Canis lupus familiaris: one gene and its partner. The protein of the gene in region 1 purifies or fractionates together with the protein of each later gene. This does not show direct contact. Links are inferred from orthologs where the notes say so. Each region holds a gene or a part of one and is shown on either strand. Other genes may lie near its edges.

What was found. The genes of interacting proteins can lie anywhere in the genome.
Region 2: the proteins of FNDC3A (region 1) and TENT5C purify together in Homo sapiens (affinity purification with western blotting; 3 studies listed by BioGRID, with this or other methods). This does not show direct contact. The link is inferred for Canis lupus familiaris from reciprocal best matches to the Homo sapiens genes FNDC3A and TENT5C.

What each region holds. Positions count from the first base shown.
Region 1 is NC_049243.1:2,663,068-2,669,294, reverse strand, and holds the start of FNDC3A (fibronectin type-III domain-containing protein 3A), read left to right. Parts: upstream 1-2,382; 5' UTR 2,383-2,634; intron 2,635-3,072; exon of another isoform or gene 3,073-3,293; intron 3,294-6,227. UniProt on the Homo sapiens protein: Mediates spermatid-Sertoli adhesion during spermatogenesis.
Region 2 is NC_049238.1:55,475,671-55,482,064, forward strand, and holds the start of TENT5C (terminal nucleotidyltransferase 5C), read left to right. Parts: upstream 1-2,255; 5' UTR 2,256-2,378; intron 2,379-2,805; exon of another isoform or gene 2,806-2,923; intron 2,924-3,977; exon of another isoform or gene 3,978-4,101; intron 4,102-6,394. UniProt on the Homo sapiens protein: Catalyzes the transfer of one adenosine molecule from an ATP to an mRNA poly(A) tail bearing a 3'-OH terminal group and enhances mRNA stability and gene expression.

The sequences.
Region 1 (6,227 bases):
TCGATAAGAAAAATGAAGCGTTGAGAAGTGACTTGTTCAAGGCTGACGTAAATTCCTGTCCCTTTCTGGATTCCCAGAGAATTCATACCGGTGCCTGTGTTAGGGTTATTTATGTGTATGATTCATTCTCTCCACAGGACATAAATTCCCCAGTCCTCACTTGACTCAACCTTCTAGCATTGCATATTGTTGACTACAATCTTTACATCTACTTCAGTGATATTCTGGAATTATGTCTTAGTCTCCTTCGAAATAGCCGTTCTTCTTTGTTGTGATTATACATGTAGGAATGCCCGGCATACTTTTTAAAAATACAGTGGTTTTTTTTTTGTTTTTTGTTTTTTGTTTTTAATGCCATTTTTTGTTTCCTCCTCTCCCCCTAGTCAAAATCTTGAGGGGTAGATTACAAGATTCTGGCTTTTTTTTAAAAAAAAAAAACCCCAAGTAGGAAGCTTTGGAAATTACTAGCTTAGAGTTAAGGTTTGGAAACCACTAGCTTAGTCTTAGACCAAACAGAGCTAGGGTAGCAAGATGGAGAAGCCACCCAACGTGCCCACACTCTGATAAATACTCATATTTTACAACAATACACAGTTAAGCTTCAGTTATTCCGAGATCGGCTTTCCAGCAAATTTTGTCTGGAGGAGGGCCAAAACTGGAAGTTGAGGAAAGAAAACACCTCTCACAGGGAAAGAACTTTTGAGAGTGAACGAGCAATAAAAATCTCTCAAAATATCACTTGATGTAGAGTCCCTGTCCTATTTACTGATGGGAAGAAAAATGATTCTCTCATTAGCCGGCTGTGGATATGAACATCTGATCAATCATCGCCTGGAGCCAGAGAAAAGCCATCAGGAAAAACGAGTAAAAAATAAACAGTAGAGTAGAAAGGATGAGAGGAAGGCTCAGAGTGGATAAAGAGACAGATGAGATGAGAAGCAGTGACAGGTTATTAGAAAAGGTGATGAGAGCATTCCAAAAAGGGGGGAAAAAAGAAAAAGAGAGAGAGTGAGAGAGTGAGAGAGAGAGAGAGAGAGATCACCGAAGTAGGGAATCCTAGATCCCTAAGCAATCCCCTGGGACTTTAGCAAATGGCCAAGGTATCTAACCCTAACCCTGACTGTAACCCTAACCCTAACCCTGACGTGTTTGATTGTCAGTCATCGACAAAGGATTTCATTAAAATGCTGTATTCTTTAAGAATGTAGGGAGTAATCAGGTTTTAAAAGGATTTCTGAGGGATCCTTGGGTGGCTCAGCGGCATAGCGCCTGCCTTTGGCCCAGGGCATGATCCTGGAGTCCCGGAATCGAGTCCCATGTCTGCTCTCTGCACGGAGCCTGCTTCTCTCTCTGCCTCTGGGTGTATGTGTGTCTTTCGTGAATAAATAAATAAAATCTTTTAAAAACAAAAAATAAAAGGATTTCTGGAAAAAGGGTTACAATGAAAGATAATAATAATAAAAAACACGGCTATTTTAAAACGCCGTGCAATTACTAAAGTGAATTAGAGCCTGAGCAGGGAGCCGGGGGACACTCATCCCGGGTTTTGGAGGGCGCGGTCCCCGGGGTCGGACCCCTTCCCAGGGCCTTCCGCCGAGTCCTCAGCAGGGAGCAGCCCGGCCAGCCGCCCCCCCCCCCCCCCCCCGACTGCTGCCCGTTTGAAGCAACCCGTGCTCCCTTCGCTCCGAAGTCCTCGCGCTGTCGTGCAAATTAAGGTAACGGGTGTCCGTGCGATTGGGCCGGGGAGCACACCAAGACACGCCCCCCACCCCCACCCCCCAGCAGCACCCCCCAGCAGCACCCCCACCCTGCCACGTTTTCAAATGAAGTAATTATCTAAATATTTTTGCTTGCCGTAGAGATCCGGGGCTCTAAGTGTTTAGGATGGAAAACCTCCAACCCACTTGGCTTGGCTTCCTAGTCCTTGGGGGGGGGGGGGGAGGGGGGTGTCTTTAAAAGCACCTGCCAGCATTTAAGTTCTGGTGCTTTCGGAGAGAGGCTGACCCGGCGCGTCCCAGAGGGAGCCTTTTTCCAGTCTGCACGGAGAACCGCGTGAGTGGCCCCCCAGGGATGTCGATTCACCCTCCCACACACCCCTGCTTCCCCCCTGCTTCCCCCTAGGGTCGCCCGCAGGCTGCCGGGGCAGATGCTTCAGCGGGACCCCGAGCGGCGAGGCCGCGGGATCCAGCCTGCAGCCCCGGGAGCTGGAAGGGGGCGCTCCGAGGCGCAGCGCCCGGCGGGGGCGTGGCTAGGGGCGTGGCTAGAGGCGTGACCAGGGGGCGTGGCCAGGGTGCGGGCGGCCGGGGGCGCCGTCGGCGAGGCTCGCGCAGCCGCAGTGGGCGCGCCGACGCCGGGCTCCTCCTCCTCCCGGCTCCGTAGTAAGCATGGCGGCGGCGGCGTTCGTGGTCCCTCGGGTGAAACAGAAAGCGGGAGCTGCGCGGAGAGGGAGCGGAGAGCGGGGCTGAGGCGGCGCCGTCACCGCCGGAAAACCACGCCGACAGTCAGCGCGCCGGCGGCCGCAGCGGCCCCCCGGGAGCTGGCGCTGCCGCCCAGGCAGGGCGAGGACGGTCGGGAAGCCGAAGGAGGGGCGCCCGGGAGCCGCCTTCCTCCGCCTCAGAGCGGCGTGACTCGGAGGTGAGAGACGGGGGACGGCGAGCCGGCGCCGCGGGGACCGTTAGGCTGCCGGGGGCGGGGGGGCGGGGGGCCCGTCGGGGGGCAGGGCGGGGGCGGCGCCCGCCCACTTGTCGCCCACCTGCCGGGCCCGAGTCCCGCTGCGAGGCGCCTGAGGGGGGGCGGGGGGCGCGACCGCGACCGCGACCCGCCCCCTCCCCTTGCCCCTCCCCCTCCCCCGCCGGCGGGGAGCAGCGCGGCTCGCGGAGGCTCGGGGCGCCGAGCGCGGAGCCCGGCGGAGAAGGTCGCCGAGCGGTCGCCGCGCCTCAGCTTGGGCCGCCGCCGAACTGAGACGCTTTTTCCGGAGCGCGTCGCCGCCCCCGCCCCCGCTCCTCTGAAGGGGTTAAAACGTCCACGAGCCCGCCCTTGGCCGTCGGGTGCTGCGCGGCCGGCGCCCCGTACCTGGCGGTTCTCCGCGAGCCACCTGTTGGGGCGGGAGGGCACTGCCGGGGCTGCCGCGCTCGCTCGCGCTGCTGAGGAACCACCTGGATCCGTGAACTCCGGACACGGCGGCGGCGGCGGCGGAGGGACGCCACGCGTCAGGTAAGGCGGACGGGCGAGTGATGCCGCCGCTCCGGCTGCAGCGGGAACGCGGGCTGTCGTCGTTAGTGTCGCCCTCGGTCGATCTTGTACCGCTCTGTCCGCGCTAAAAAGCTCGGGGGTATTTTTTCCTTTTTTTTTTTTTTACTTTTACTTTTTTTTTTTTTTTTGCCGGGGGGGGGGGGGAGTGGGGGGACAGGGAGGGAGCCTGTAATGGACGCTGGAGCGCCCGGAACCGTGCCTTCGAGATCTTCCGTTGTGAAATTTTAACGTGTCTCTGGACACCTTTGTGTCTGAGCATCTTCTAACCCAAGGATCGTTAAGCTGATAAGGTATTTTTTTTTTCTTTCCTTTTTTTTTCTTCTTCCTTTTTTTTCCGCAGTATGATCCCTCCTACGTTGTTGTCCAGTATGGACTTTGAAAACCGAGCCGCCTCATTATTAAGCTTAACTGCGGGCTGTTTTTTTTTTTTTTTTTTAGTTCTGGAAACCAAAGTTGCAGGGTTTTTTTTCTTTTTTTTCTGTATCCTAAGAATGAAAAGAAAGAAAAAAAAATGACTGAAGTTGAACTGTTACTCCACTATTTTCCCCGCCGTGCCGTTTCCAGCACCAGCGGGAACTAAACATATGCCCTACTCAGGAGTTAGAGCCATATGTCAGGCAGCAACTAATTGGGATTTGTGGCCCTGATCTCGGTGTTTGGATAAATATTTAGTTTTTTTGTGCATTTGCTAAATCTGTAATTCTTGCCGTCGTGTCAGTTTTGTTTGAATCACCTATAAATATTCCAGAGGAATGACTCCTCTGCCTTTTTGGTATTTTCTTGGTTGAGTTGATTTCATCTCAGGTCATGAGATAAAGTGCCTGTTGAGGCAGAGGGTGGGCTTAACAGAAAACAATGATAAAAAGGATTTTTAGCACTTTTTTTTTTTTTTTTTTAAATAACCTGGAACCTAAAATTTGCTTTCAGCTCTCTGGCCGACTGATAATGCTTGCCATCACTAAATAACACTAGTTAGTGGGGAAAAAAGAATGATTTAACAGGGAGGAAAAAAAAACACCTCACTAAGATTTTTGTAAATAATGTCATATTCAAAAGTTTTTAGCGTTGTTCTGGTAAATTTTACTGTTTTTTTTTTTTTTCTTCAGAGATCGTCTCTCAGTTTTCTTATGTAGAATGACAGAGAAATTTTTTTATCCTTAGCTGGGTGCCTTTAGCCACCTGTATGCTTCTGAGTTAACTCCCTTTTCCCCTTTGTCTCTCCTTTTGAATTCTCAAAACCATTGAGTGTTTAGGGAAGATAGACTTCTAGTTAACCCTGGCCTTAGTCAGATGTAATTATAAGGGCAGTTTGCTTCTTCCAAATTACTGATATACATTTGAAAAAAAACCAATGCTAGGATTATCTTTTGGTGCCATCTGTGTCATCACTTCCCCTCATCATGTGAGTAATTGACAGCTGATTCATTTTACCATGCGTTTAATAATTACTTTTTAATTGTAAAATTTCTACAGTATAATATTAAGCATATTTTATTCATAATTAAGAAAACTGTCTCTCTCTTCTCTGACCAGCCAGGCATAGGTAAGGACTGAGAGACTATAAAACCCAGGACTAAAAGAAGGAATATATGATTAATATCCTCATCATCCTCTGTAGCTTAACTTAGGTAAAGAGCGCTTACTTTATAATACGCCGTATTGTTAGTATAAACTCATGGGTAATAAAATGCTTGTTTTAAAACATTTCTTTTTTATGTGCGTACATGCAAGTCTTGTGCACCTTATATTTTGCCTATATTTTTATAACAACAGTTTGGTCAAGTAATAAAAATTTTTTTAGGGATCCCTGGGTGGCGCAGCGGTTTGGCGCCTGCCTTTGGCCCAGGGCGCGATCCTGGAGACCCGGGATCGAATCCCACGTCAGGCTCCCGGTGCATGGAGCCTGCTTCTCCCTCTGCCTGTGTCTCTGCCTCTCTCTCTCTCTCTCTCTCTATCATAAATAAATTAAAAAAAAAAAAAAAAAAAAAATTTTTTTATATTCTTGGTGCATTTTTGTATGGTGGTATACTTGAGAGTGATATAAGGGTATGCACTTGGTTTCCAATTTTATTAGCCAGATAATCAAAAGATAAATGATTGGTGTTTTTTTTTTCCTTAACAATTTCTAGCACACCTCAAATAAATTTAGAGTATTGAAAATCTAAAGATTTAGGGTACAGTGCATGTCTATCCCACTGAATCTTTTAGGGCTTCAGTTATCACACTGCAAAAAAAAAAAAAAAAAAATCCTTAATGGATATCAATGTCAAGAGCTGCCTGTTGAAAGGAAATTAATGGCCGATAGTGTTGAAAGGCAGATTTTTTTAAACATGTATTGTAAGCTTTTATAACTTTCTTACTATTTTGATATCATTTTATTTCAGAATATTTTTCAGTGGTCTCTTAATTTCTTGATCCTTATTTTTCTATCCTTCCATATTATAGTTTTGTTTGTGTTTCACATACACTTTCTAAGTTTGCAGTACAGCTTATGGTCTTCCATCAAGTTATTTTGTGGGTATCTTCCTTTGATATTTCCAATCACTTATCACCCATTTTCCAGTCTTCAGATTATTTTTTTCTCCAAGATAGAGAGGTACACTTGGGAGATGACATGTGCTCAAAGGATGATGAGCCACTATTGAAGTGGGGATATTAAAGCAGTGTGGTATCTTTACTTCCTTCAAGTTGTTTAGAAAATAGTTGTAGATACTAGACTAACAGGAAATCATTAGTGAAAATATAAGATGTTATTATTAAATTGGATGGCCAGGACTTAATTTGAAAGAAAGTGAGTCCACTGAGGGATCATGGAAGGCATTTGGAAGAAATCAGACTTGAAGCCTGGGAAGGACTTAGCACAAGGACAGACACTCCGAAAAAGGTTGACATCCAGAGCTGGAAGTAGGGGGGCACGAACCAGTCTGAGAGCATCCAAGGATAAGTAGTAAGAGCAAGAAAGAAAGAAGTTTGCC
Region 2 (6,394 bases), on another chromosome or scaffold:
AATACACTAAAAAGATATCAAATGGCCAGTTGCGTCTAAGAAATTTCTCAACATCACTGATCAACAAATAAACGTAAATCATAATACAATACACGCTCGCCTTTTTAAATTAAAAAGACCGATGATACCAATACTGGCAAAGATGTGGAGCAACCGGAAATCTCACATCGCTCATTGGAATACGAATTGTTATACCACTTGAGTAAACCATTTGGCAATACATTTAAAGCTTAATATGTATATACTCTGTGATTCTGCAATTCCAATCCTGTATATATAGACCTGAGGGTATAAAGGTACAGTTATGCCAGATGAATAAATTCTGGGGATCTAATGTACACCACGGTGACTATAACTATAGTACTGTATTATATAACTGAAATTTGCAAAAGAGAGTTTGATATTAAGCATTTGCACTACACATACACACGTGGTAACTATGGGAGGTAATGGCTAGGTTGGTTGTGGTAATCATTTCACAATGTACATTAAAACATCATGTAGTACGCCTTAAATGTACCTAATTTTTAATTGCCAACTACACTTCAATGAAGCTAGAAAAAAAAAAAAAGATAGTTTGTAGCAGCTTCATTCAGGATAGACAAGAACTTGATGCAACCCAAACATCTACCAGTAGGAAGAGTGTATCAATTATTGAATATTTATACAATTAAATAATATACAACAATGGAAAAGAATGAACTATTGTTACATCGACCAAATGGATGAATATTATAGACACACCGTTAAGTGAAAGGAGATGGACACAAAAATGCACAGACATGTAATTCATCCACATCCAGTTCAAACCCTGGAAAACTAACCTGTGGTGATAGAGGTCAGAACAGCGTTGACCCTTGAGGGACACGGAATGGGAAGGGGCATGAGGAAGCTGGAGATACCTGAGTGTACACATACATAGAAATTCATCATGGTGTAACCCCAGCTTTGTGCACTATCCTGAATGTATATCTCAAAGGGTGAAGAGAAAAAAACCAGACCATACACCCTGATTTCATGTCCAACAATAGAATCACTGTTGCTTTCCCCCACGGAGGCATGCTGATATCCTATCTCATCAACCTTCCGGGAGACTTCCCCCTGCCCCCAGAGAGCTCTTGAGATCTTGGCAGACACGGATATTTCAGGCGGGGTCGCAAGGGGAGGGATAGGGAGATCCCGCACCTGGGAAGTAACCTTCCTCTCCACCACCCAGTAGGGGGATCCGCACAAGCTCAGTAAACGTTTATTGATCACTAACAACAGCTACTATTTGATATGAGCAACACTTGCCACACAATTTGCGTGAGACACTGCACTAATAGCCTTCCATGTTCTTATCCAATACTTACAGAAGCCTAGGAAGCTGCTCTAGCTTTAGCCTCATCATACAGGTGAGCAAACAGGTTTACGGGGAGAGTTAAGTCGTTGCCCAAGGCCTTGCAGATAGACAGGTGGTGAGCGGAGGTCCCAGCCCACACTGACCTGAGTTTCGAACCTGGACCCCAAGCCGCTGGCTACGGAGCCGGCGGCTGGTGTCCAAGCCCGGCTCGCACCTTCTATAATACACGCGGCCCTCGGGGGCGCGGCCACGCGGTCGCAGTTGTCAGCCTGGGCGACCGGACTTCTCGAGGCCCGCACCCGCTAACCACACACAGGTGCAGCCTGCGGGCGGAGGGCCAGCCTCCAGGCAATTTGCTTGGGGGGAAGAGGAAGGCTTCCTCGGCTCACAAGCCACAAGCTGGTGTGTGTGTGTGTGTGTGTGTGTGTGTGTGTGTGTGTTTCCAGACCTCAAAACACACGCGGGAGGTAGGCGTCGGGGTGTCACTGCCCGCTCCGGAGAGAAGAGGAGCAAGGCCAAGATCCCCGGAGGAGCAAGAGGAAAGCAGGCCTGCGAGGCAGCAGGACGGAGACGGAGGAAGAGGCGACGGACGGCGACGGCAGCAGGAGCCCGGCGGAGAGCAGAGCCCCGGGACTCCGGGGTTGGGGCGGGGGAGCCGGCCAGGCCCCTCGACTGCGCCTGCGCCTGCGCCGCGCTCCCGCCCGCCCACCCCGCCCCTTCCCGCCGCCGAAGATTTACTCGTCTCTCGGCAACCATTCAGCCGGGGGCCAATCAGGGGGCCCCGCGCGCCCCGCCCTCGCCGTCAGCGCCGCGGCGGGAGGACCCCGAGGGCGCTGGCTCCGCCCCGCCCCGCCCCTCGCTCCCCGGGGAGGGCAGGCTGGGCGGGGCGGGGCGGGGCGGGCGGCGGCGGGGGCGTGGCCAGGCCGTATAAGAACGGAGGGGGCGGCGGCGGGACCGCTCTCTCGGTGCCGCTGCCTGGGGGCTGCAGTGACCGCGCCGAGGACCTGCCTCTGTCGTCGCCTCTTCCGCCGCCCAGGTGAGTCCCCAGCCCCCTGCCCTACAGGTGCGAGGATGCGGCGGCCCCGGAGCGCCGCGCGCGCTGCCTTCGGGGCGGGGGGGGTCGGTCCCGCCGAGCGGAGCTCCGGGCTTCCCAGAGCCGGGGGGGGCGGGGGGCCGGGGGGAGGCACGGACAGGTGCTCCCTGCCCCTCCAGCCCCCGCGACGGCACCCCGCGCGCACGCTCATCCCCCGCCCCGCGAGGACCAGGCGTGACGCCCGGGGAGGGAGCTGCAACTTTCCAGAGACTTCGGCCGGGGCTTGGCAAACTTGGGCGAGTTCCTGCTCCGCGCGTCCCGCGGGCTGCGTTCTGGCCGGCGCGGGCGGGGAGGCCGAAGAGGCCGAAGAGCTTGCGCCCCCCGCGCCCCCGCGCCCCCGCGCCCCCGCGCCCCCGCGCCCCCCGCGCCCAGGCCGAGCGCGAGTTCGAATGCGGCGGTTTCGGGAGGCGCAGTTGGAGACGGAGCAGGCCGGGGAGGGCGGGGGCGCCGGCGCTTCCCCGGCTGGGCGCCAAGCCCGGGGTTTCCAGGTCAGGGCAGAGGCTCTCACTTTCCGTGGACTCGCGCTGGACGGTGCCCCCGCGAGCAGCCCCGGGGCCCGAGCGAGGGACGTCCGCGCGCCGCAGGTCCCGGGACTGTGCGGGATGCGGCGACCGCGTCCTGCCGGGCCCCTCCCCCGTTAGGGAGGACACTTGCCCGCCGTGGGAAGAGCGCAGACGAGCAGCAGCCTGGGCTAGCGGGGCCGCGGGGGCCGCCCCAGGTCGCAGAGGTGGGAGGGGGGTCGGAGGAGGGCGAGGGCCTGAAGCTGACCGGTACAGCTTGGTAGCTGGACGGCTAAACGCCAAGGCGGATGGGGACGGGGGCGTGGGGACACAAGACTGCGCTCCCTCAAAGTCAGGGAGGACTGGCGGGGAGAAGGCTGGCGAGCTTCCCTGGGGAACTCGAGCTCACCCCGGTTCATCGCGACTGGACCTCGCGGGGGGCATCAGCTCGGTCCCCTTCCCTCCTTCTACCCTGGAGGGAGGCTTCTGCAAGGCTGCATCCTTGTCTGGGGTGGCAACCTGCTGCTACCTCTTCAACTTTTTCTTTTTGATGGACGAGTAACATGCAAGCAATGGAGGGCTTTAAGTGCCGTTCTTACAGTCAGCGCTTCTAAAGACTGTGGTAATCATTTGTATGGTGACAGTATTCAGGATATTTGGTAGGTGGGTCAGGAACCTGAACCTCCCCAGGAAATAAAGATTATTAAATTCTTCTAAAGTAGATTCCTGGCTTGGCCCAGCTGCCCTTCATGGGGAAGGGGGTTGATGAGAGTGGCCATTGTTGGCTACACTAACCTTTCCACGGGAGTAACTTGGCAAGGAAGCCCACAAGGAAGCAAGCCAGGCAGCCTGGGGCTGCCCAGGGGTGGTGTGTGTGGTAGGGGTGGAGGGTGGGGAGAAGGGGTGGGGGGTAGGAGCACTTACCAAGAATTGTGCTGTGTCTTGAGGGAGTGAGACCCACCACACATGAGACCCCGCCAGCCATGGGTGGACGGGGTGGGGTGGGGAACTAGAGAGTGCTGACTTTTCTCTTCGCTTTCAGGGAGGCAGTCTGAGCTGGACCAGCAGGGGTTCTGTCCTTTGACATTCTTGTTTGTGAAGATGGAAAACTTAATATCTCTGGAGTCAAGCTTTTACTTGAGATAACTGAAACCTTGTGTCTTAAGGTATACCCATATCTTTAGAGTACATTTAGTCTCAATAAGGAGTTTTTAGAAAGAAGGTTTTGGTATATTGTATATTTTTGTTCAGGTGGCTGTGGGGAGAGTCCCATTATATAATGTGAAAGTTAAGCACACACACACTTTTTTCCCCCTCAGCTAGGAGGCATCTAAATTGCTACTCAAAATAAAGCTCTGTGATTTCATGACCGTGTCTGTCCCTAGAGCTCACAACAACACCCATTGGGTTGAGTTTCCTCCACCATATACCTCCCTTATATCCAGAGATTAAGCTGGGGTTCCTCTGCAGGAAAGGACGTGGATCTTGCCTATTTGCTAGAATGAGTGTGATTTAGTTGAGCACCAGTGGTTCTCCCTCCTTGGTTCCCTTGGCTGTTCCATGAGTACAAGTAGCTCACTGAGACCCCATCCTGAGTTACAGAACCCTCTCACCTCTGCATTTCCCAATATGCCCCACATAGCCTATACCCCCCAGTGTTCAAGGCCAGGGCAAATTGTGCACATCTTGCACTACCCATCAAAGAACAGAGAAGTCCCCGTACTTCTGAAAATCCAAGGACCTGCCTAGCAATAAAGATAACATAGAGGAGACTGTAGTGTCCTTGTTCTCCTGGGGCCAAGAATGGGACACATTTGATACAAAGTTAGCAAACGACATGTTGTTGTTTTTTTTTTTTAACCGCTCAAATAAGTCATACCTTGTCTTCATCTTTCATCTCTGATATATTGTGTGCCTGGGGCCAGTCACAAAGAATGACGAGCCAGAAGCTCTGACTGGATGTGGTAAACTTTTTTTGTATGTGTGTTACCAAGAGACATTGTGGAAACCCAAGACTAGTTTCATGAGTTAAGTTTAAACTTGTGTTGTTATGTTTGGGTTTCTTGGTCCCCTGCCAGATCTCTGGGCTCTGTGTGTGTGTGTGCGCGCGCGCACACACGCACACACACGCACACTAAGGGAATAAAGGGAAGTAATGTAGAACCTGAGGTGTTACTTGAGATAAAACATTACTCTGGTTAGATAAGGTCCATTGCTTTTTTTGTGATGTCACTGGAGTACACAGGTAATATAGAAAAATGTGTTGTGTCATCTTGGTGTTTTGACTATGGCCTATCAAATTGGCATAAGCTATATTATGATGAAGCAGCCACCTCTGTGTCTAAAGAAATGTTCATGTGTTTAAAAAAAGCCAGTTGGGTACAGCCATAGTGTTGATCTTCTGTGATGCTTCCCAGACTTTTGGTCTCAAGCCTTTTTGTCCATCTACTGTGTGCATTTTAAGGAAGCTCGTATTTGGAATTTAGATGGTGTAGACGAAGCATCTTTGCATAGCCCAGCTATGTAAGAAGCAGCCTTATGAATTGTTGAGAATCAATAGATTTTGTACAGCTGGTCCCTCTAGCCTGTCTTAGAACTGTTTGCAGAACTTCTTGGAACAACAGGAAAAAAAAAAAAAACCGAATATGAGGAAATAATTGCTGATGTTAAGTAACTCCGTCCAGGGTATTTTTCAGTCTCAGAGCCTTTTGGAGGCTTGGTCACTAAACTGCATAAAATGTTTATTTCTTGGATAACTGTGATTGAGTCAGTAAGTAGTTAAATGCTTCCCAGGCAGTGGCTAGTGCCAGGTGCCGAGGAGGCCAAGGCAGTGGTATGTAAAAAGGCCTGTGGAAGTGCTCAGGATGCAGGAGGAGCTGGGACAGCCTCAGAATGTACGGGCACTCGGATTTTGCTCGTTTGTCTTAGCCACTGGCATGTGAGCCCCAGGAAAGCAGGGATCTGTGCTCACTGCTGAATCCCCAGCGTCTGGAGCAGAGCCTGGGCCACGGAAGGTGCTCCTGTTGATTGGATATAGTGCATTCAGCTGCCATTCCTCTCAGCGAGGGAAATATACTTGCGGTGGATTCATTCTGGTGGGCTAAGGTGCTGGAAGCTTTTTGGGTTGGAAGCTTCCAGCCTAAAATGCCGAGTGGTTTCCAGGCCTTTCCCTAAATGGTGGCCTCCTTTTAGTAGGTTCAGAGCCGAGGGGGCAGTGCCTACTAATTGGCCCGCAGCTGAAGCTCCTTCAGCTGAGCTCCAGACCTGCTGTCCTCCAGCACTTCCCACCCTGTCCTTCCTGCCCATCCACCCCGATGCCAGCCTCACGTGGCTCACTCAGCCTTTTTCTCTCTAGTTCACTCGGCTGCTAGTTCTGCTGATCTTTTATCTTTTTAACTTTTTTGTTTCCCACTGCCATCACTGACCTGGTTCAGGGCCCTGCAGACAGCAACTCCAGAG